Drosophila melanogaster: one gene and its partners. The protein of the gene in region 1 interacts with the protein of each later gene in a pairwise test. Each region holds a gene or a part of one and is shown on either strand. Other genes may lie near its edges. The genes, in order: tbrd-2, sw, Sdic3 and jigr1.

Region 1 (4,865 bases):
AATGGGAAACCTGTTTGTATCATCTTGTAACTTGTATCTCCGCTCTGGACAGCCTGTACCTGGACCTGGACCTGCTGTTTCCATACCGAGCCCTATCCTAATTGAGGGTTGGTTGGGGGCATTGAGACTACGAGTTTCCACGCTCTCCACGGATGCTGAGTCAGCGGCAATTGCTAAAAAAATAAATATAAAATCGGACGGAAAGGGAAGGGAAGGGAGAAGGGAGAATGGTGAATCGCCGAGGGATCGGAATCGGATTCGTCGGGATCCTGAGAGCTGCAAGATCGCGTAAGCACCGGGCATCGAACAATTAACAACTGCAGGTCTGCAGGTGCCGAAGACAAACAGCAAAAGTCACATACTCCAAAACACAGGCGGTGCACAATGGCCACAGAAAGTCAGTAAAAAAACATTAGCCAAAGGCAGGGGGCGAAGAGGAAAACGTAGGAAAACCAAGGAAAATGCTAGCCGAGCGGTGGCGGGGGAAAAGGTCCCAGGGAAAACACGCACACACAAAAGAGGATAACTCGGCGACGGGACATGCGAGTGCACATTTTCGTCTATAAAATTTATTCGCATTAATCGCCGTCAGAGATAAAATTAACGAAAGAATGGCCAAGGACGTGGACGTTTGCCGGGGTGAGAGGGCTAAGGGCTCAGTGGTCAGGGGTCGGGGATCTGGGATCGGAGCTGGGACTCAAAGTCCCGGGATGATAACGCAATATTGACACCTTGGCCCAGGCAGGTAGAACCTGCGATAGCCGGGCATTCTGCGTCTCCAGCGATTCCGTGAGTGGTCCTTTCTGTGAGTGCCATTGCCTAAAGAGCAACAAATTTGCAGCACGAAAAGTCCTTAGTCAAGGATATAGGACGACAATCGCAGGACTGTACTGCGAACACTGTGAAACATAGAAGCATATGATATTTAGGAATATTATATAATAATATCGTAATATCTACGATGGGAATTAGTTTGTATAATTTTGCAATTAATTTTGCCCATATTCAAGTTCATAATTTTTACGACTCCTTGTTAATTTGCATTATCGATTGGGATTACAGTGATGACCTCCATTTTGTACGATTTTTCCGGAGTGTGCCCCGTGTCTATTTCCGTAGTGGGCCTGTCCCACCGCGGTGGTTCGCAAATGGTTGCGGAGTCCTTCCTGTCCTCCAGTGGGTGCCTGGTTGGGTGGGTGGTTTGGCTGGTTGGGTGGCTCGTATGCCTAGACAAGCAGCACCGCAAAGTGGAATGAAGCGTATGCGTGTGTAATTAAGTGCGCAAAAAGACGCAGGAGGCTGTCGTGGTGGGCGGCGGTGAGGGGCGTGGCCGTATATCTGTATTTATGGGACACACTTACATATGTATGCAAATAGGAAAAGCGTGTTGTTGTTGCTGTACTCCTTGAAGGTTGTCGGTGGTGGGATGTGCCGATGGGTGGTGGGGTGATAAAAATGTTGATGTAAATTGCAAAAAGCAGTTTTTATGTCCCATTGCCACATTTTCCAACCGGGAGGTGGGGTACAAAACGCTGAAAGCCTCTGAAGTGGTGCAAATTATTATAAATATTCAGTGGATGGGGCCGGTCGGGTGTGGTGGTGGGTGGTATGGGTGGTTGGATGTTTGCCTCCATTCCCTTTGATGTGCCATTGTTTGCTTTAGTTTCGGTGTCTTTCTGATCAACCAGCCTATAATTGGTGCACTGCTGCTTATCGAGGGCTTAAGAATAGGCAGGATTTTAAAATAAACGAATGTTCTAATAGTGACTTTCACTTTTGCAAAATCCTAGGGGTTGCCGCATATTTAAATGCAATGTCTTGGCATCCCTGACTAGAACTTTCGAAACTTTCATGCTAGTGATTTCTAAATGGCAGTAGGCTGTGCAATTACTTCACTTGTCAAAATAGGACAGCTGAGCGGTGATATGTGTTTTTCCATCACAAAAATTTGTTCCTGAAAGCGGACGGTCGAACGGCAAAAGTGTTCCCAAAACTCAATCGTAATCGTAGTCAAATTCGAGTTTATATTTGTGTAAAATTGAAAGAGACACGTTTTCAAAAATCGAAACAAACGAACAACCAGTAACCAGTAACTGAAAAATATATCTCTAGCATGGTGAGTTCGTAAGCTATTCACTGCGCGAATTTCTACAAATCATTCTATTGGCAGGCATCTTGCAAGCCGCTTTCCGTAAAACTAAAACTCCCAAATCGTGTCCAACCCGAGTTTATACCGCATCCCGGAATGGCGGGTCGTTATACCAATAAGTTGCATTACTTCAAGAAGCATTTGCTCGACGAGGCTCGCAAGAAGAAGTATGCCTTGGACTTCTTGGAGCCCGTGGACACGGAGGCTCTGATGGTGCCCACATACTACACGGTTATCCATCGTCCCATGGATATCGGTACCATTGTGAAAAGAGTTCAGAACAACTACTATAAATCTGTCAATGAAGCGATTGCCGATTTCAAGCAAATTATTAGCAATTGCTTCCTATTCAATCGATCCGGCGATGTCGTTTACCGCAAGGGCCAGATGCTGGAGAAGTTCTTTCACAAGAAACTCCGAGGCATGCCGTCTGGTCCAGAGGTGCCCTGCAATAGGGATCCCAAGGCGGTGGGCAGGCCTAGGACCAATGCTCCTAGTTCCGCGCAGACGGAACGCAAGTGCCGGGAATTATTGAAGAAGTTGCAGAGCATCACCAATCAGACAGATGCCATGACGCGCAATTTCTTCAGTAACAAGTGGGATTCGTTGCAAAAGAAAGTTGATCGCCAGTACTTCAAGTCTGTCAATGAATTTTGCTTGCATGTGGATGGCTGCTTTAGAAAGTACCACGAACCGGCTAAAATCCTCTACGAAAGAGTCTTTAATCAGCCGGCGGCTTGGTGTACTTCCATGAATGGAAACTCATCGCTGGAATCTGCTTTGAATGCCGCAGATCTAAATGAACTACTGGCTGCCGCCAAGTTAACGGTAAATAGCTTGATGCAGTGCGTCCAAATGCCCGGTTCCGGGGAACCTCTGACAGCCAAGAGTTTGGTGGAGACTTTCTGTGACACCTTAAACAAGATGATAAACAAAATGGAGGCAGGTCAACGAAATTCTCCAAACCCATCATCTAGCAAACGACAGAAGATGAGCCCCGAGCAGGAAACGGATTTGGTCCAAGGCGAATTTAAGCCAGCTATGGAGTTGTTAAGTGGAAATGAAATAGATAACCTCATGGCAGTTAGCATTGAATCCTCAGATGATGAAGCTATCGATGCCTCAATGCGTATCACTGACGCGGATCGATGTGCCACACAGAAATTATTTGCCAAGCTTCCGACAAACGCCATGAAGGAGATAATTCACATGGTCCAGCAAATCGAAGGATTTTCCTCAGAGAACTGTGGAGATCTGAGCTTCGATGTCAAAGGTCTCGCCACGGATACTATGATCATGATGAAAAGTGCCGTCACCAAGGCAACTAGGGCCCATAGCAAGCTGAAGCTCAAGGACATGCAGCCTTCGGAAAAGGAAGGACTTCAGCGGGCACTGCAGTCGCAGCTGGTGAACATTACACGGATGCTCAACAAAAATCGTCGCCGATGTGGTCCCTTGATCAATTTCAGGAATAAAAACAACACTGCCAATAACGTGGTGCGTAAGAGAGCAACTGCTCCGCTAACCGCCAAATTGAAGCCGCTACAGGCTAATGTAATGGCTCCACAATTGGGAGCAGGTGTTGTTGAGACTCACAATCTGAGCGATACCAGCGACGATGACGTCTCCGCTCCGGTAAAACTGTCGGCTATTGGTGGCACTCCAATGAGGAATCTCCCAATAAATAGTAATCCTTTGCAAATGCAACCCATCAGATCCCCCCCCAAGTTGCCACACGTTGTCGAACTCCAGATGAGCAGCAGCAGCAGCAGCGAGTCGGAAATGAAATCCAAGTCCGGCAGACTTTCTAGGTCCAGGTCCAGGTCCATGTCCGACACCAAGTTGAGACCCAGGTCAAACTCCAGCGCCAGCTCTAGATCTAACTCTAGTTCTAGCTCTGGCTCCAACGCTGGCTCCAGCTCAGGGTCGCGCTCCAGATCAAGCTCCAGTTCCAGTTCATCTTCGAACAACAGCTCCGAGTCCAACGATTCCTCTGACGTTGAAGTGGTCCCCAATGTACCCGAAGGACAGCTGAGGGCCTAATCCTCATAAAGAAGTCTTATGAATTCTTGCATTTTATGTATATGTAAAAAAAAGGGGGGTTTCACTACAAATATCCCAAATATAAGAAAATAAAAACTGTAAACACCTATATTACACATTCATGTGTACATATATGGTTGGACAAGAAACTAAAAAAAATTAATATGTTTGTAATTCATTATTTCCTAAGAGCTTGGGAAATTGCGATCAGAGATTTAGCATCTCCAATCTCTACTGTCTTTGCAACGATCACGTAGACCAGCAAAATTTTCACGAAAAATTATGCAAATTTCCGAACTTTCTCACGATCGCAGCCAAAAAAGGATAACGATGCTCGCAGTACCTGACACCCAGCAGTCAAATTAGAGCGGAGATCACGCAGATCCTGTATCTCGCGGCGGAAGGAGTTTTTCACAGCCAAGGAAATTTGCATAAGATTTTCACTTGGCGAATATAAAGGGAAGGGCGAGGATGCACTCTCATTTGCATAAGGAAACTCGCATTGCGAAACTGCCAAAAGAACTCGGATGCAAACGAAAGTGAAAATGGGATGGAAAAAGGGAAATGCCACAGAGACAGGGGTTAATTACGGGCACAGTGGACGGCGCCTTGTTCACAGCATGCCGACACGCTCGCACACCTGAGTCCTGCGGCCCGGCCCGAGTCCTTCGTC
Region 2 (4,994 bases), on another chromosome or scaffold:
GCATGCCGGTAATATATGTACATAATATATGCATAAATATGCTAAGCGGCCACGCAATGACCCAAAAGCCGCTGTCCTTGGGAGATGCGATCGATCCGCTCCGATCGGAGTAGGAAAGAAATAAAAAATAATGAAAATATAATCAGCTATCGGAGATCGGAGATGCGGCCAAACCAGACGGGCTGGGAAACTAGTTTAGGTTGGCGGCGTGTAGTGGCTAATTAACAATACACTTTTACTCTCGCCCGATCCCATGTGGAAACCAGGTGGAGGTGGTTCTTGGAAGCCCGGCCAGACGTCTAAATCTGAAATTCAATTGGCAAATTAATTTGTAAACTAATCGCGCTGGCATCTCGACTTCGGTGCGACAGGTTTGGCCTGGCAATTAGCGCGGGGAAAAAGCGAAGATATTAAGTATCCGCTCATCGGTTTGCCAACTCCCGCCCATGTGCAAGATTTGTCGGCCTGGAGCAAAAAGTTGAGCAGTCGAAGATTTGGCAATTCAAGGTTTTTACTGCAGCATGGGGGATCATCGGAGCGATTCCAGTTCGAGTCCGGTTTATCAATGCGGTTACGAAACGAGCAACTCGGACTACAGTTTTTGGGTCGTCGAATGCTGGCATTTAAATTCAGATGTGCAGATGTGCAGATGCGCCAAATCGAATCGAAATAAAATCCCCAAAAGTTTCATGGGCGCTTTAACCCCATGAAAACCTCTTCCTTGGCACTTTGGATACGGTATCTTTCAGATACTTTCAGATACTTTCGGATACATTCAGATACGACCGAAGGCACGTACTACTGTTGGATTCGCTTTGCGCCCCGCGTTGCAGCAACATCTGGCATTGGTGGCACAAATTATGGCATACATTGTGGAAAGACACATCGCCTAAGTGCGCTTTCTATTTCCACGGCGGGTTCTGGTGATTTCACTGGCCCAAAGACGCGCATTGAATGTAATTGGCACTTTGGAGGGGCAATTAAAACACGACATATCTACATACATATGTACATACGTATGTATGTACATACTTTCAGAACCCTGAACGTATTTTGTAAGCTCAGTAGTTTTGAGTCACTATGGGAATTTCAGCGGTATTGGTAATTTTTTACAAGAATAGTCTTGCTTACCTTTCTTAATTAATTAATTTTTACATTTTGTAGTACTTCACACTCAGCATTTTAATCAAACAAATGCACAGGTTGTGGGCATTAATTTTAGCTGAATTTTAGACCTAAAAGGATTATTTAATTTTGTATGCATATGGGACATCAGTGTATTATCATTAAGGTACTGTGTATCAATTCGAATTTACCTACAGATACCTCTCTTGAATCTATAAATTAAAAGTTACGCTTCAGAAAGCAACACTGATATTTCATAGTGCATGTGTGTGAGTGTGCAAAACTTTTTTATGATAACTGTAAGCCACCTATAACATAACAATTTTAAAATGCGGCATATCTCTGTATTAACATACTTTTTACCTATTATTAATTATGGTAATATAATTATATATTAATCTAATATATTTATAATTAATATTAATAATTAATAATTAATAATTAATAATATATAATATAATATATATATATATATATATATATATATATTCAGTTTGAAGCTCTATTTAAGCATGATTTGTAGATTTCTTCCATAAATAAATATAAATATTAATAAATATAAAGTGTGTTGCAGTGTATGTGAAATGTAACTGTAACTAACAGCGTTCTGCTAAACGCAGTAGTGCTGCCAGATCGCTGCGCTAGTGCATGGAAAGACTGGAACTATCGCTGTCACGACAGCTGTTCACAGCTATCGCCGTACAGTAGTAAAATCTTATTCTTGTGTTTAAACTTGTGTTAATTAAGAATTCGGAATCCCGCTAAGAATCCTAGTCTTCCACACCCTTTGGGCATCTATGTAAACCAGCCGCGCCCATTATCTCCTTCGTGTGCCAATAACTGTGCGAAGTAACTGGCCGTGGGCGATGTTCCATCTCTAGTTAGTCAAAACATTAAAAGTCAGTCGCATTTTTACATTGTTGAAAAATGATGATTTAAGTACTTAAAAAGCAGCCGAACAACGAGTAAAGACAGTCAAGAGGTGGGTTTTTGTGCATTTCATGGAAAAATCACAAGAGCAGTGAGAGAAGGAAGTTGAAAAACGCAGCCAGGGCGAAAAGACGTCACAGTCCAATCGCTGGATTATTGATTTTTTTTTTTTGGCCGAGCAAAGGAAAGTAAAGTGACGGCCACTCACTGGGTTACCGGGAAATGTGCTCCACTTGGCGATAGGAGAACATATGAGTTGGCTGCGCCACGCCAAGCGAGCGGTGGAGAACCACACAGCGCACCCACTTTCTTTGCTTCTGGCCAGCAGTTGGTGACATCATCAAAGCTACCAATATTGGCGACCATTAATCATGCATCCCCCTTGCAGAGAACTTGGCCCGCCAGAGATCTAGAGTCCCGTACCGAACGCCCACTCGAACAGCAAATCGCAGCAGCTAATCGCCCCGAGAAATGGATCGCAAGGCTGAGCTGGAACGCAAGAAGGCCAAGTTGGCCGCCCTGCGCGAGGAGAAGGATCGCCGGCGTCGCGAGAAGGAGATCAAGGACATGGAGGAGGCGGCCGGTCGCATTGGCGGCGGAGCAGGCATCGACAAGGATCAGCGCAAGTGGGTTTGCCATAAGCTTCTCCTCAGAGCTGACTCAGCACCGCCATCATCCAACTTTCGTTCGCCTCTTTCAGGGATCTCGACGAAATGCTGTCATCGCTGGGCGTGGCCCCCGTCTCCGAGGTCCTTTCCTCACTCTCCTCCGTCAACTCGATGACTTCGGACAACTCGAACACACAGACCCCCGACGCCAGCCTCCAAGCCACTGTCAATGGCCAGAGGTAAGCCAGTTCATAGCAAAAGCTTTGTGAGTAGAATTACCATCTTAAGCAGAAGTTCGCAGGGCATATTAGACATATTCAGGTCATATAGGTATAGACATTTGATTCCCTAAGTTTTTTTTGCTAAACAACTGTAGAGACAGATTCCCCATCTACAAGCTTAACATAAAAAAATATCAGTAGTCAAAATTGGAATCCTGGTTAGAGAGCGTGGCAATTTTTACAATTCAATTTTAGCATTAGCCGTTTTAAAAATTAGTATTACACAGATTAGACAATGGGCTTAGTACTGATTAAGTTTTAACGATCAATGTATTGTACTATTGCTATTGCCATTTAACCGATTCCTAACTAATACCAATTTCTTATGTGCACCCCCCACCAGCGGCGGAAAGAAACAGCCCCTCAACCTAAGCGTCTACAATGTGCAGGCTACGAACATTCCACCAAAAGAGACACTGGTCTACACAAAGCAGACCCAGACGACCAGTACCGGAGGCGGAAACGGCGATGGTGCGTATTGCCCCCGGGGCGGGGATCTGGTTGGGCTCTACCGTAACCACTATCCATAGTTTGACTCCATCTCTCGCTACTGTTACCGTTCTTATTCTTGGTCTCGTTGTTAAATGTGTTTGGCTTCCCTGCTGTTTCCCAGACTCCGTCACCGTCCGCCGGAGGAGCAGTGTATCTATCTGTCCCTCTCACTCTCTCTGTCCATGTCTGTGCTCCAAACTCTCCCTTTCTGTCTGGTGCTAGCTTACACCGCTGCATGCTGACCCTGTTTCCGCGCTTTGTTCCCCATCAAGTGCCCCCAACTCCCGTCCCTCCCAGCAGAGAAAAAAAACAAAGATGCAAACAGAAACCATAATCCATAGTGAAATAAAATAACAAATACAGTTCTTTCTTGCCACTCCTCGCCTCTGTCAGGATATATGGAGGACTGGTGGCGTCCACGTAAAGGTACTAATCTTAATTTTAAGCAAACTCCACACCTAATCACACATCAGCACACGAAAGTTATTGTGACAAAACGAAGCGGCATACACATGTGAATACACGAAGAGCTCCATGTGAAGCGCCCACACGACTTAGTCTAAATTTGCTGTAAGGCTCTGCAGGCAGAAGGATGTCAGCATCGTACATGCGTAGACAATTCGGTGGACTATCTACTTAACTGCTTGAATTTAGACAGCTTCCTTTTGCTTTGCCTCGGCCCAATTTGGTTGCAATGCCCAAGAAACGTAGTTTCTGGTCGATTGATCATCTTATGACAGATTTCTCTTGATTTGGTCAATCCGCATTATTGGTTTTTGGTTCCTTCAGTGCTCTCAATTTAGCCCATCTATCCCAGCAATTGTTTTTGTTAGTTTATTTTATAAATGTTCGAAACTGGAAAAGCTCAGACACGATTTCAAAAACCATTCGTCACTATTTTGTATACTATGCAATATTCAGCACACTATCTGAACACTTCAATCCGAACTTTTAAAAATATAGGTTGTAAATGGTACTGCAACGCAATGTGTCATGTTTATCCCCTCTTTAAACACGCCTTTTTATAATTATTACTTTAATTTTTGTCGCGTTTTTGTAAAGGTTATTGGTAGCACTAAGCATTACACCAATTGGCCTTGTTTCGCTTCATTAACGCCGCAGTCTCGACTCATTTCCGCATGGCCACCGCTGTCCAGCATCAATCTTTCCATCCACATCCATCCATGTCCACATCCGAACCCATAGATCATTAGAGTGTAAACCGTTCGAGCGCATTTAATAATTTGTCTATTTACTTTCTCTTTCTTCCCTCTTAACTGTTTTTGGCACGCACGAAAAAAAAACTGCAGCTCATGCTACGGATTATTATGGTGAGTAGTCCTCGTTGTATGCGTAATTCCGTACTTAGAACTTTTCAGCCTCCGTAGCGGTCTGTGTGCCACTCGTAAGAAGCGTATCTATACCCGTAGTCCTATATATTACCATTACCTTGAAACCTCTCTATGCTGAACTTCTCTATATACTCACATTATGTATTTGTGTAGTTTGCTCAATATCTATCCACAACACGATCTATGCTCCTTAGAGTTTTTCTGAC
Region 3 (7,321 bases), on another chromosome or scaffold:
TATTTTAACCTGGCTTGGGCTGCTATCTGGGCTTCGGACGAGGGAGGGCATCCCAGGTCGCAAAAGATGGCCAAGTGGTCGCTGCCAGTGTAACTCTCGCTGAGTCTCCACCTCGTTAGCGTGAACGACGAGCCGCTAGTGAAGGTGAGGTCCACCACAGAGCCCAGTCCGGCGCGCCTGAACATGTGCCGGTTTCCATGGTTTAGAAGAGCCCGGTCCAACGTCGCTAATGCCTCCAGCGCCATCCTGCCTCTCGCGTTGGTGGTTCAACTGCCCCAGCTCGCTGACCTTGCGTTGAAGTCGCCCGCTATAAGAATCTGGGTGCGGCCTCTAGCGTCCGCTGCCAGTCTATCTAATGCCCGACTAATTGCGATTAAGGTCAGGCTGGGGGCTAGGTATAAGCTGTACACCCACCATCTGCCTACCCTAGCCCTAACAAATCCGATGTCCGAAAGAACATCTGTTAATTGTTGGGCTTCTCTGCTGCACCTCCAGATCGCTGCTTTCTTGGAGCGGTCGGGCTCCACTCTGCGTTCGCGCACCGTCTGCACTAGCAGGTCTTGGCCTGCAGTGCAGTGATTCAGGTTTAGCTGAATCAAAAGCATCATTGCAGTGCCTTTGGTGCTCCTTTTCCCGCCAATGGGCACTTCCGGGTGCCCATTTGGTGGTTGGTCGCTTGGGTTCCTCTGCTTGCGCACAAGAAGCACTTAGCTTCGTTAGGACACTCGGAGGCCTTGTGTCCCGCGGTCACGCATTTGAAGCAGCACTGGCTTCTGTCGACGGTGCTTTTACAATGGACCGCTATGTGGCCTTCCTCCAGACATCTGAAGCATCTTTGGCGTGGCTCCAGCTCCTTGATCTGGCATGTGAAATGTTATATGTGTAAATGATCTGATCTGGAGTGCGTGACGGACTGGACACGCCCGTCGACGTCGGTCAGGCCAAGGAGCAGGCCGCCCAGCTCTACTCGGCCGGCGAGGCCAAGCTGGGAACGGACGAGGAGGTCTTCAACCGGATCATGTCGCACGCCAGCTTCCCGCAGCTGCGACTCGTCTTCGAGGAGTACAAGGAGCTCTCCGGGCAGACCATCGAGCAGGCCATCAAGCACGAGATGTCCGACGAGCTGCACGAGGCCATGATGGCCATAGGTCAGTATATACATATTTAACTGTTCCGTTATAAGTAATTGTTGTAACAGACACTTGGTTAAATGACACACTTCTTAACCTTTTAGTTGAGTGCGTCCAGTCACCGGCGGCCTTCTTCGCCAACCGCCTGTACAAGGCCATGAATGGCGCCGGCACCGATGACGCCACGCTCATCCGCATCATCGTCAGCCGCTCGGAGATCGACCTGGAGACCATTAAGCAGGAGTTCGAGCGGATCTACAACCGTACGCTGCACAGCGCCGTGGTGGTAAGTGGATCTCGAAGAATCGCAAGTGCTTCGCACATGGTTAACGCACCCCTTTCCCCTTCTCTTCACGTACTTGTCGGTATTTGTTGCGGTGTTTGTGTTGTCCTAGGACGTAAGTATTGGCCACGCCATTGGTGAAACGGATGCATTCCTGGTCTTGGTTACTCCACGCTATCAAGTGCTCCTTTTACGCTACATATGCTGCCAAAATCCCCATCAAATTATTTCTAAGAACGCCGAAGCAAACTGGTTCTTGGGCATTTTTCGATATCTCATTATTGGCTTGCCAAAAAAGTATTTTCGGGCAAAGTAGTAATTGTAGTGTAGAGGGCATAGCCAAAAAAGCAAGAACTTGGATCTCGCTTCAATACGTTCCTTTCTTTACTTTCCAGGCGGAGACCTCTGGTGACTACAAGCGGGCCCTGACAGCCCTACTTGGATCCGCCTAGGCCCGAGGATGTGGCAGCTGGTCCGCCCAATATTTTATTCGTGTTAATAGCTTTGATCGTAGTGTGCCTCTGGGGGAAATTCTCTTGGATTCCCCATCTATGAGTTTAACGTCAAAACAATATCAGTAGTCAAAATTGGAATCCTGGTTAGAGAGCATTGTAATCCAAACACAATTTTTACAATTTTAGCTTTAGCCGTTTTTTAAATTGAATAAGCTTAGTATTACACAGATTGGACAATGGGCTTAGTACTGATTAAGTTTTTACGATCAACGTATTCTACTTTGAGGTACTATAACTATTGCCATTTAACCAATTCCTAACTAATACCGATTTCTTATGTGCACCCCCCACCAGCGGCGGAAAGAAACAGCCTCTCAACCTAAGCGTCTACAATGTGCAGGCTACGAACATTCCACCAAAAGAGACACTGGTCTACACAAAGCAGACCCAGACGACCAGTACCGGAGGCGGAAACGGCGATGGTGCGTATTGCCCCCGGGGCGGGGATCTGGTTGGGCTCTACCGTAACCACTATCCATAGTTTGACTCCATCTTTCGCTACTGTTACCGTTCTTATTCTTGGTCTCGTTGTTAAATGTGTTTGGCTTCCCTGCGCTCCTGTTTCCCCGACTCCGTCCCCGTCCGCCGGAGGAGCAGTGTATCTATCTGTCCCTCTCACTCTCTCTGTCCATGTCTGTGCTCCAAACTCTCCCTTTCTGTCTGGTGCTAGCTTACACCGCTGCATGCTGACCCTGTTTCCGCGCTTTGTTCCCCATCAAGTGCCCCCAACTCCCGTCCCTCCCAGCAGAGAAAAAAAACTAAGATGCAAACAGAAACCATAATCCATAGTGAAATAAAATAACAAATACAGTTCTTTCTTGCCACTCCTCGCCTCTGTCAGGATATATGGAGGACTGGTGGCGTCCACGTAAAGGTCCTAATCTTAATTTTAAGCAAACTCCACACCTAATCACACATCAGCACACAAAACTTGTTGTGACAAAACGAAGCGGCATACACATGTGAATACACGAAGAGCTCCATGTGAAGCGCCCACACGACTTAGTCTAAATTTGCTGTAAGGCTCTGCAGGCAGAAGGATGTCAGCATCGTACATGCGTAGACAATTCGGTGGACTATCTACTTAACTGCTTGAATTTAGACAGCTTCCTTTTGCTTTGCCTCGGCCCAATTTGGTTGCGATGCCCAAGAAACGTAGTTGCTGGTCGATTGATCATCTTATGACAGATTTCTCTTGATTTGGTCAATCCGCATTATTGGTTTTTGGTTCCTTCAGTGCTCTCAATTTAGCCCATCTATCCCAGCAATTGTTTTTGTTAATTTATTTTAAAAATCTGAGGAACCATCCGTCACTATTTTGTTTACTATGCAATATTAGGCACACTATCTAAGCACTTCAATCCGAACTTTATAAAAATAAGTATCCTTTTGTCGTTCCTGTCCACCCCTATGAAGTCTAAAAACTTTCTTTAATTTTTGTCGCGTTTTTTTAAGCACCAAGGAATCACCAAGCATTACACCAATTGGTCATGGTCTTGGTCTTGGTCTCCACTCATTTCCGCATATCAACCGCTGTCCAGCATCAATCTGTCCATCCACATGCAAATCCACATCCATCTGCTTGTGTACATCCTACATTTGCATGACTGCTGATGCTACTGCATTGCCCGCCCCTCATTGTGTGTAGTGTTGCTAATCCCAGTCATTCATCCTGAAACCCGAGATAACAATGTCCTAACCACTAACAAAACTTATCGAAAACAACGAATACGCAGCAGCGACAGGAAGCTAGACTTGCTCCATTTCACGCACTCTCACGCAAACTCGACAGCGAGCGACCTTTGCCTGTCTCGCTCTCTCAGCTATTGATTCCGATAACCGATACCCTCTTCAATTACAGCACTATTATAGAATCGATCAATAAGCCGTTAACCTTAACTTGTTTAATTTATATGTAATATATTCGTTATATGTCTATCCCTTTCCCCCGATGTGATGCACGCACGCACACAGCCACACTCGAAAGAAGACGAGGACAGGCGAGAGGAACAAATGTACTGCAATGCTCCTTCTCTCCCTCTCTCTCGCTTTCCCCCTTACACTAAGAGCTTCATCGAATCCCCAAAATCCGAAACCCACAATCCCGCCTCAATGAGCCCCACAAACAAAGTCAAATGTCTCAGAAAATTACGGTTCCTAGCCAAGCGAAACGAAGACGAAGAAGAACGCGTAATGATAACTCAATCTAAACTCAAATAAGTTCAAAACCAAATCGAATCAGATCGAATCAATCAGAGCCGAAAGTAGAATTGTTCCTGTTCTGTCGATTGTCATGTTCCTCTAGCTGTGTTAGTTTTATACCTTAAACAGTGCTTGCATTTGATGCCCAAGGAGACGACGAAGAGAGCTCACTGCAGAACCTGGGCAACGGATTCACCTCCAAGCTGCCACCGGGCTATCTCACCCACGGCCTGCCCACCGTTAAGGACGTCGCCCCGGCCATCACACCACTCGAGATCAAGAAGGAGACTGAAGTGAAGAAGGAGGGTGAGTCACCACGTCGAATAGACATCTATTTACATTCTCTCGAATTCCCACCCTTAATGAAAAAGTCTTTCTTTCATTATACTAACTGTTATTTTTATTTATCAACCAGATATTTTTTTATTAATTAGTAGACCTTATAAAATCATTCGTTTGTTCTCTTGTTTGGTTAATGCTAGCAAAATATTTATTAATATTTAAGGTTTTGTTATGTTTTGCTTCCAAATGATGATGATATGCATTTGCATTGATGCATTTTATAATAATAAAAGCTCAAATGTTGTTTAGATCAGTGCTAAAGAATTCGCGTGCATTTCCATTGCACGCATGGAAATGTTGAGTAAGAAGCTATTCACAAATATTCCTCCTCTCCATCTTTCCTCCAGTCAACGAGCTGTCCGAGGAGCAGAAGCAGATGATCATACTGTCGGAGAACTTCCAGCGGTTCGTGGTGCGTGCCGGCCGCGTCATCGAACGGGCCCTCTCGGAGAATGTGGACATATACACGGACTACATCGGCGGCGGCGACAGCGAGGAGGCGAACGACGAGCGATCGCATGCGCGGCTCTCGCTGAACCGCGTCTTCTACGACGAGCGCTGGTCGAAGAACCGCTGCATCACCAGCATGGACTGGTCCACCCACTTCCCCGAGCTGGTGGTGGGCTCGTACCACAACAACGAGGAGAGTCCGAACGAGCCGGACGGCGTGGTGATGGTTTGGAACACCAAGTTCAAGAAGAGCACGCCCGAGGACGTCTTCCACTGCCAGAGCGCGGTGATGTCCACCTGCTTTGCCAAGTTCAATCCCAACCTGATCCTCGGCGGCACCTATTCGGGCCAGATTGTGCTGTGGGACAATCGCGTGCAGAAGCGCACGCCCATACAGCGCACGCCCCTCAGTGCCGCGGCGCACACGCATCCCGTCTACTGCCTCCAAATGGTGGGCACCCAGAATGCGCACAACGTCATCTCCATATCCTCGGACGGCAAGCTGTGCTCCTGGTCGCTGGACATGCTGTCGCAACCACAGGACACGCTGGAGCTGCAGCAGCGCCAGTCTAAGGCCATTGCCATTACATCGATGGCCTTCCCGGCCAACGAGATCAATAGCCTGGTGATGGGCAGTGAGGACGGCTACGTCTACTCCGCCTCGCGCCACGGCCTGCGCTCCGGGGTCAACGAGGTTTACGAACGCCATCTTGGCCCTATCACTGGCATATCCACGCACTACAACCAGCTGTCGCCGGACTTTGGCCACCTCTTCCTAACCTCGTCCATTGACTGGACCATCAAGCTCTGGTCGCTAAAGGTACCCATTTCAAGTTGCCAGTTCTCTGTCGTCTCCGGAATTAATTCAAATATGCCCACTCTTTCAGGACACAAAGCCGCTGTACTCCTTTGAGGACAACTCCGACTACGTGATGGACGTCGCCTGGTCGCCCGTGCATCCCGCACTCTTCGCCGCCGTCGACGGCAGCGGTCGCCTGGACCTGTGGAACCTCAACCAAGACACGGAGGTGCCGATCGCCTCGATTGTCGTGGCGGGAGCACCAGCCCTTAACCGCGTCTCTTGGACCCCATCCGGTCTGCACGTGTGCATCGGCGACGAGGCCGGCAAGCTGTACGTGTACGACGTGGCCGAGAACCTGGCGCAGCCATCGCGCGACGAGATCAAGATGAACCAGAGCGATGAGGTCTAGGACGATATAGTTAACTGGTAGTTGAGAGTCGGTACCACTTTTGCTAATCTTACAGGAGCGACCTTGAATGAAATTTAATTTGTATTTTTGTATCTTTTGTGATCCCGCTACTGTGTATAGCCCAGAACTCAAAACTCAACCGCAGTCCAAGTGCTCAGAATCACTCCAAAGCCCCCAAGAAATCAGGGGAAACTGCAAAATTCTCTAGATGACCACAGTAACTGTAACTGTAACTGTATTATTTTGTTACTCAATATTGGTTTCATTCCATAGCTATTTTCCCAGTTCTGTTCCCACCAAAAATCGCAACCAAATTGGCTATTCCGACTCCCCGGAAATTTGATTGGTGGTGGTAACTGAACTGCAAATAGGATTCATACTTGATTTTAAATTAGTGCAACTAACAAGATTGCAGAAAGATCGTTTATTGTTTATTCGACTGTCGGGCAGGCTGAAAGCAACACATAAATAAATTAAATGCTACATATTATATACAACAACGTATTAAGCGTGGAAGTGGGGGCTTGGGAATGAAGGTACGAGGACTGAAGATGGAGCTACGTCCCCTCAACTGAAAGAGCCCAAATGTAAATGTATTATAGCGAAGCCTATTTAACGAGATTAAATAAACATAATATCTATATATACACCTATAAGAAAGAGATGTCTATTATTTGGCTCGGATATAACCCTCAGAAATGAATTTATTCGATATTTTGTTTGTTTTTTTAATTCGTTTATTTAAGATTAACAGATTAACAATGTAACAGTAAGGATGGCAAATCCAGGACCCCCCGCGGTATGGCTGCATTGCTTCGCGAGGACGATCAGGATTTGCTTACTCGTAGACCCTCCTGGCTCTCTCGGCTCTTCTGAGCTCGGTGGTTATCGCTGCGGCGAAGCTGTTGACCGCTTGCCATTTCGCATCACCCTGCAGCATGAATGGGACTAGGTTATCCGCAGTCAGTCTGCTGCCAAGTACGGTTTCCAGAGAGCTCCGTTCCCTTGCATATTTAACCCACGAGAAGAGAACGTGCTCTGCTGTTTCGCTCCATCTACTTCTGCACCATGGGCAATCATTCGCCTCCTCATGTCCAAAGCGCTTCACATATCTGCGAAAGCAACCGTGTCCACTGACCAGCTGCGTTAGATGGAACGTTATTTCGCCATGATTCCGTTCTATCCACG
Region 4 (4,586 bases), on another chromosome or scaffold:
AAGCAACTTTTGGCGTATTTAGAACAGCAACAACAACAAACAGCGGCAAAAAAACAGAAATATCAAGATAAAAATATTTTTTCGGGCGGCCCTTTGTGGCTCTTCGATGGGACAGTGGCTACACTGCCAAATATTACCCAGTCATAACGGTCAAATAAGATAATTAATAACCTCGCCAAATTTGAATAAATAATTACATATAAATTGAATAGACTGGAACCTTGAAACTATCTTTGCACCTATCAAAGTGATTTTAGTTAAGGTATGTCATGTCAATATTAGTCTTGATTGTTTCCGGTGTATTGGCCCGCCTAAACCAAGTATTTGCTGATTGCGGCTTTGTTGTTGTTATTGTCGTGGCGCGTCTCAAGTCTGGAGTCGTCTCTTTGGGCTCTCTTAAGGGATCTTCTTCTGGGATCTGGGACTTCCTCCCTCCACACACGCGTTTTGAATTCGATTTGCTGATTGCCGTTTGCTTCTTGGCGAGATTTCGATTTCGTCGGCAACAACAGCAACGACGAGCCTCGACCATGAAACAATTTTATATTTTTGTGCAGAAAAAACGAAGATCAATAAAATTTTACCGACAACTGTATTTCGCTCAGACATCGGAGTATAGGGCCCTAAAATTAGTGACCAAATTGTCAAAGTGTGGGCTTTTGGGAGGGGGTGTGGGTCACATTTTTGGTTACAGTAATCAGGACAGAATCGAGCAAAAAGAAATTGAAACTAAGCAGCTGGTAAAAATTTGATCTTAATTTTTTGTGCGCTTCGGTTTTGTAGACTCCGAAAGAGCTACAAAACAAAGTGTTGAAATTTATTTAGGGAATGTGGAGCTTTGTTGCGTTAGAAGGTTATGTTCACTCCATGGGAAACTAATGTGGCAAAAGACAGATTGGGACTGATTGATATGGACTACGATAAATGCTTACATGACCCATGAATTGTTATAATTAATAGTATAGGAAAGAAATGAGTGTATAAATAATATTTCACATCAAGAAAGTAGTTTTACTGCAGCATTTTCCTTGATTTCCTATTATCTACATTTGAGTTGAAAAGGTCCAGAAGTTTTGCCTATCAACTGTGAACTAAAAACACACAAAAAGAAAGTTGCCCCTAGGCCTTGTGCATAATTCTGTAGAAAAGCGAGAAACAAGGAGGCTTTGTAAAAAATGGGGATGAGAAGAGAGGGCGCCGTGTGAGTTCCTGCAGAATCCGCTGCAAGAAAGGTGCTCCAACAACAACAAAAACAAAAATGGCAATTCCCAGAAACGAGAGTGTGTGGGAGGTGGAGAAGGTGAAGATGGAGAATTCTTCCAAAGGAGCAAGAAGAGCAAAGAATAGGGGCCGTCACTAATGAATTTGTATGCAGAGACCGCAATGATTTGGCACAAAAACAAAAGCAACAGTAACGGAAATGCGAGGATTAAGAAAAAAAAGGAAAACGCGGGTCCAACGAACAACATTTTGTGAAATTAGTGCAGACAGTCGAAAAACGCACCTTTTATGTTTTGTAGCCTCTCTTCACATTTTACGATTGCCAGTTGTTTCTTTTTCCATGATTTTTGATTTATGCAAAAGCAATAAAAATTATTATAATGAAGGCGCTGACATGGCTGATGGCCAGAGCAAAAAGCGTGCACTGAGAGAAATAGCTTATACGAATCATCATCAAAGTTCGTCAAAATGATTATTCAATCAATCGGTTTCTTGAAGAAAGTGTGAAGATTTTGAAAAATAAATAAGTTATCCTGGTTTAATATTTAGTTTAAATACTTTTTAAAAACTACAACTGCCATTCTAATTTAAATTAAGATCCTCACATTTTATGTCTGTGTAGGCGAAGAACAGAGTTGGCGACACGTGATGATGGTAGGGATAAGGAGAAGAACTGGGGGCGATGACGATGCTTATGTTCCTTGTCCGTTACTTTAACTTTACTTGCTCTTTCTCCCGCACTGGGGCTCATGTTAAAAAACAAATAAAAGTTCAACAAAAAAGAGCGCGAAGAGAATGAGTCAGAATGTTTGTTTGACTTCTGCACAAAGAATGGCTTCTTATTTCTTTGTGCTTCTGCAAAAGCACATGTAAATAAATCAAAAGGCGACAGGAAAATCGCCATTTTCCCCGCCTATATGCACAATCATTTGGGCGCAAAAAGACTTTTTAGCAGAGCGCTTTAGTTTAACTTCCAACTATTAGCTATTTTGATGGTCAGCATAAATTCTTCACCTTTTTGCCGTAATTATCTGCAGGAGAGAGTCACTCCTCGCGGCTGCGCCCAAAAACGGTTAAACATAAAAAAACTAACGGCAGTTTTATAACGCTGGTCTTGGGAACTTGGGGAGATTACCTTTTGGGAGGCTGCGCCAAAAATGAGCGGAAAATGCCCGCAAAAAGAGTGGGCGCTCAGAGATCCCCGAAGATGATACACAAGCAATCAAAAGAAATGCAACGGCCTCATCGCGCTCCTCATCCTTCTTCTCCTCCTTCCTCCTCTATTCCATCTTCACCCATTTCTTCCTGCACTTGCCGATGCACCGTTACGCGGAGTTGAGCCCGGGTTCAAGATCACCGCACCCAGCCAAATGTTTTTTCTGTTATTTTTTCCTTGATTTTTTCGGGCGCATTCTCCGCCTTGTCTCTTTGCACTTTTACACAGATTCTTTGGGGGATATTTCGTCGGTTTATGATGTTTCTTTTCCTTTAGTTGGTGTTTTTCTATTTTTTTTTTTTTGTGAGGGCACTTGGGACTAACGGTTCTGTTTGGTGAAGTTAACAAATAAAAGTAGCGCGCGCACTCAACTCACCGACAAACAAACACAAGCGCACAAAAATGTTTAACACACCATCGTCGTGCCGGAGGCTCAAGGCTTTAACTTCCTCGATCCGCAGTAACTTGGTCACTTTTTACTTTTATTTCTTTTGATCAGTAGTAGTCAGGAGTTGGAAGGCTCTTTTGAGACACAACCGTCGCCGCCGATGGATTGCGCGCAATTGAATTTCCTCCACAGCGGCGACTCAGCTCGTCGCCTCAACGAAAACGACTTCAGAACTCAGACTCGAATTTCTCTGCCGACGCCGGCAGAAGCAGCGGCTGCAAAAAGGAACGCAGCTCGCAGGGGTGGCAACTTTTAGATACCTACTACCTGCCTTTTAAGGGGCATAGAATGTATAAAGTAACACTTCAAGTCGTGGAGTCTGACGTTAGCTAGACATAAAATATAACAACTTAAGTATACATACATATGTGTATAAATTATACTTTTGTTTAAGGATTTTCATAGTGTATTGGTTTAAATTTAAATGCAGAATAAGATGCATAGCTATATCCTTAGCAACTCGTATGAACTCTCTTACTCTCGAAAAATAAAGGGTACCTCGATCTTTGTTCGCTCTCTGCGCCGAATCGCTTGATACTCTCCCAGAAAGGACCAAAGGTTTCCCTAACAAGGCTTCTGGAATGTCGTAGAACAGGGGGATGTTATGTCATACGAGAAAGAGACTGTCTAAATAAGGATGCAGCCACTGATTTTGAAGGATTTCAAAAGCCTCACCTAATAGATTTTTTTAGGATACTTCTAGAATAATTTATAATATATTTTTAAATTTAAGAGACATATTTAGATATGGAAAGTTCTGCGTAAAGGATACACTTTAAAAGATTTAATGTATATTTATGAAAGCAAATTCATTGCTGACTTACTATAGGTACATATCCCAACATCAGCAATTGTATCCTTCCGAATGCATAGAAGATCCCCTAGAAGCCCAAAAAAGAAGTTTTAACTAAGACTTAAAGCCCAAAAAATGTTGTCCGTCGAGTGAGGCCTTCTGTCAGCTAATGATCGCCCAGAGCAGGCTGGTAAAAGTTGCGAACCTTGGGCCCGGGGACAACTCCATTAGGGCGGCCCACATTCGGTGGCCAGTTGGGTTTACATTTGGTTGGCGAGCAGGTGCATCGGCGGCAAGAGTGCGACCGAGAGTCGCGAGGAAAGTTGCGGCGCGTGGCTAGAGATCGATGAAGAAACCAGAAGACGAAGACCCGCGCTGCCCGCATATCGCGCATCAGGACAATCGCTGAGGCACGAGGCATGTCCGGACACATCTGGAGTGGCACAGAGTCTCATAGTCACACCTTGAGCAGAGCTGATCGCTTAGCTATGAAAAAGATACCATGAAATTTATTACATTTCTTTCAACCAGATCCTTTTTAAGCTTGATCAAAGAACTAAGAACTATAAATCAATTAATGGCATTTAAGATCATTTGTAAGATCAATAACATATTTCGAAAATGAAACCAACAAAGGATTTAAGTTTACTAACTTTTTATTCGGCTTGTAATTGTGCTTTATGCTTATCTTCAATGTGTCTGTACTTATATAATGAGGACGGCTAATATTTCAGCTTTTTTGCAGCGCAGCATAAGAGTCGCAATTTAGCATAAATGAAAACTGAACTGAGATCGCCGATGGCCAGGGCATCATTAAACACATTAACAGACAACAGACGATGGCGATGGCAGGTGATGCCAAACAGAGACAGGTTGGCAAACTGACTGAGTGGCTAAATGACTGACGG

Evidence for each region.
Region 2: the proteins of tbrd-2 (region 1) and sw interact in a two-hybrid assay, tested with the Drosophila melanogaster proteins (one large-scale study listed by BioGRID).
Region 3: the proteins of tbrd-2 (region 1) and Sdic3 interact in a two-hybrid assay, tested with the Drosophila melanogaster proteins (one large-scale study listed by BioGRID).
Region 4: the proteins of tbrd-2 (region 1) and jigr1 interact in a two-hybrid assay, tested with the Drosophila melanogaster proteins (one large-scale study listed by BioGRID).

What each region holds. Positions count from the first base shown.
Region 1 is NT_033778.4:19,257,952-19,262,816, forward strand, and holds tbrd-2 (testis-specifically expressed bromodomain containing protein-2), read left to right. Parts: upstream 1-1,957; 5' UTR 1,958-2,113; coding exon 2,114-2,116; intron 2,117-2,170; coding exon 2,171-4,192; 3' UTR 4,193-4,343; downstream 4,344-4,865.
Region 2 is NC_004354.4:20,233,196-20,238,189, reverse strand, and holds the start of sw (short wing), read left to right. Parts: upstream 1-1,991; 5' UTR 1,992-2,107; intron 2,108-2,239; exon of another isoform or gene 2,240-2,386; intron 2,387-2,443; 5' UTR 2,444-2,526; coding exon 2,527-2,681; intron 2,682-2,755; coding exon 2,756-2,902; intron 2,903-3,287; coding exon 3,288-3,415; intron 3,416-3,799; coding exon 3,800-3,862; intron 3,863-4,746; coding exon 4,747-4,767; intron 4,768-4,994. UniProt on the Drosophila melanogaster protein: Acts as one of several non-catalytic accessory components of the cytoplasmic dynein 1 complex that are thought to be involved in linking dynein to cargos and to adapter proteins that regulate dynein function.
Region 3 is NC_004354.4:20,188,904-20,196,224, reverse strand, and holds Sdic3 (Sperm-specific dynein intermediate chain 3), read left to right. Parts: upstream 1-1,997; 5' UTR 1,998-2,104; coding exon 2,105-2,154; intron 2,155-2,222; coding exon 2,223-2,350; intron 2,351-4,259; coding exon 4,260-4,436; intron 4,437-4,819; coding exon 4,820-5,742; intron 5,743-5,809; coding exon 5,810-6,133; 3' UTR 6,134-6,785; downstream 6,786-7,321.
Region 4 is NT_033777.3:25,636,300-25,640,885, reverse strand, and holds the start of jigr1 (jing interacting gene regulatory 1), read right to left. Parts: upstream 3,044-4,586; 5' UTR 2,814-3,043; exon of another isoform or gene 2,357-2,813; intron 1,094-2,356; exon of another isoform or gene 933-1,093; intron 1-932.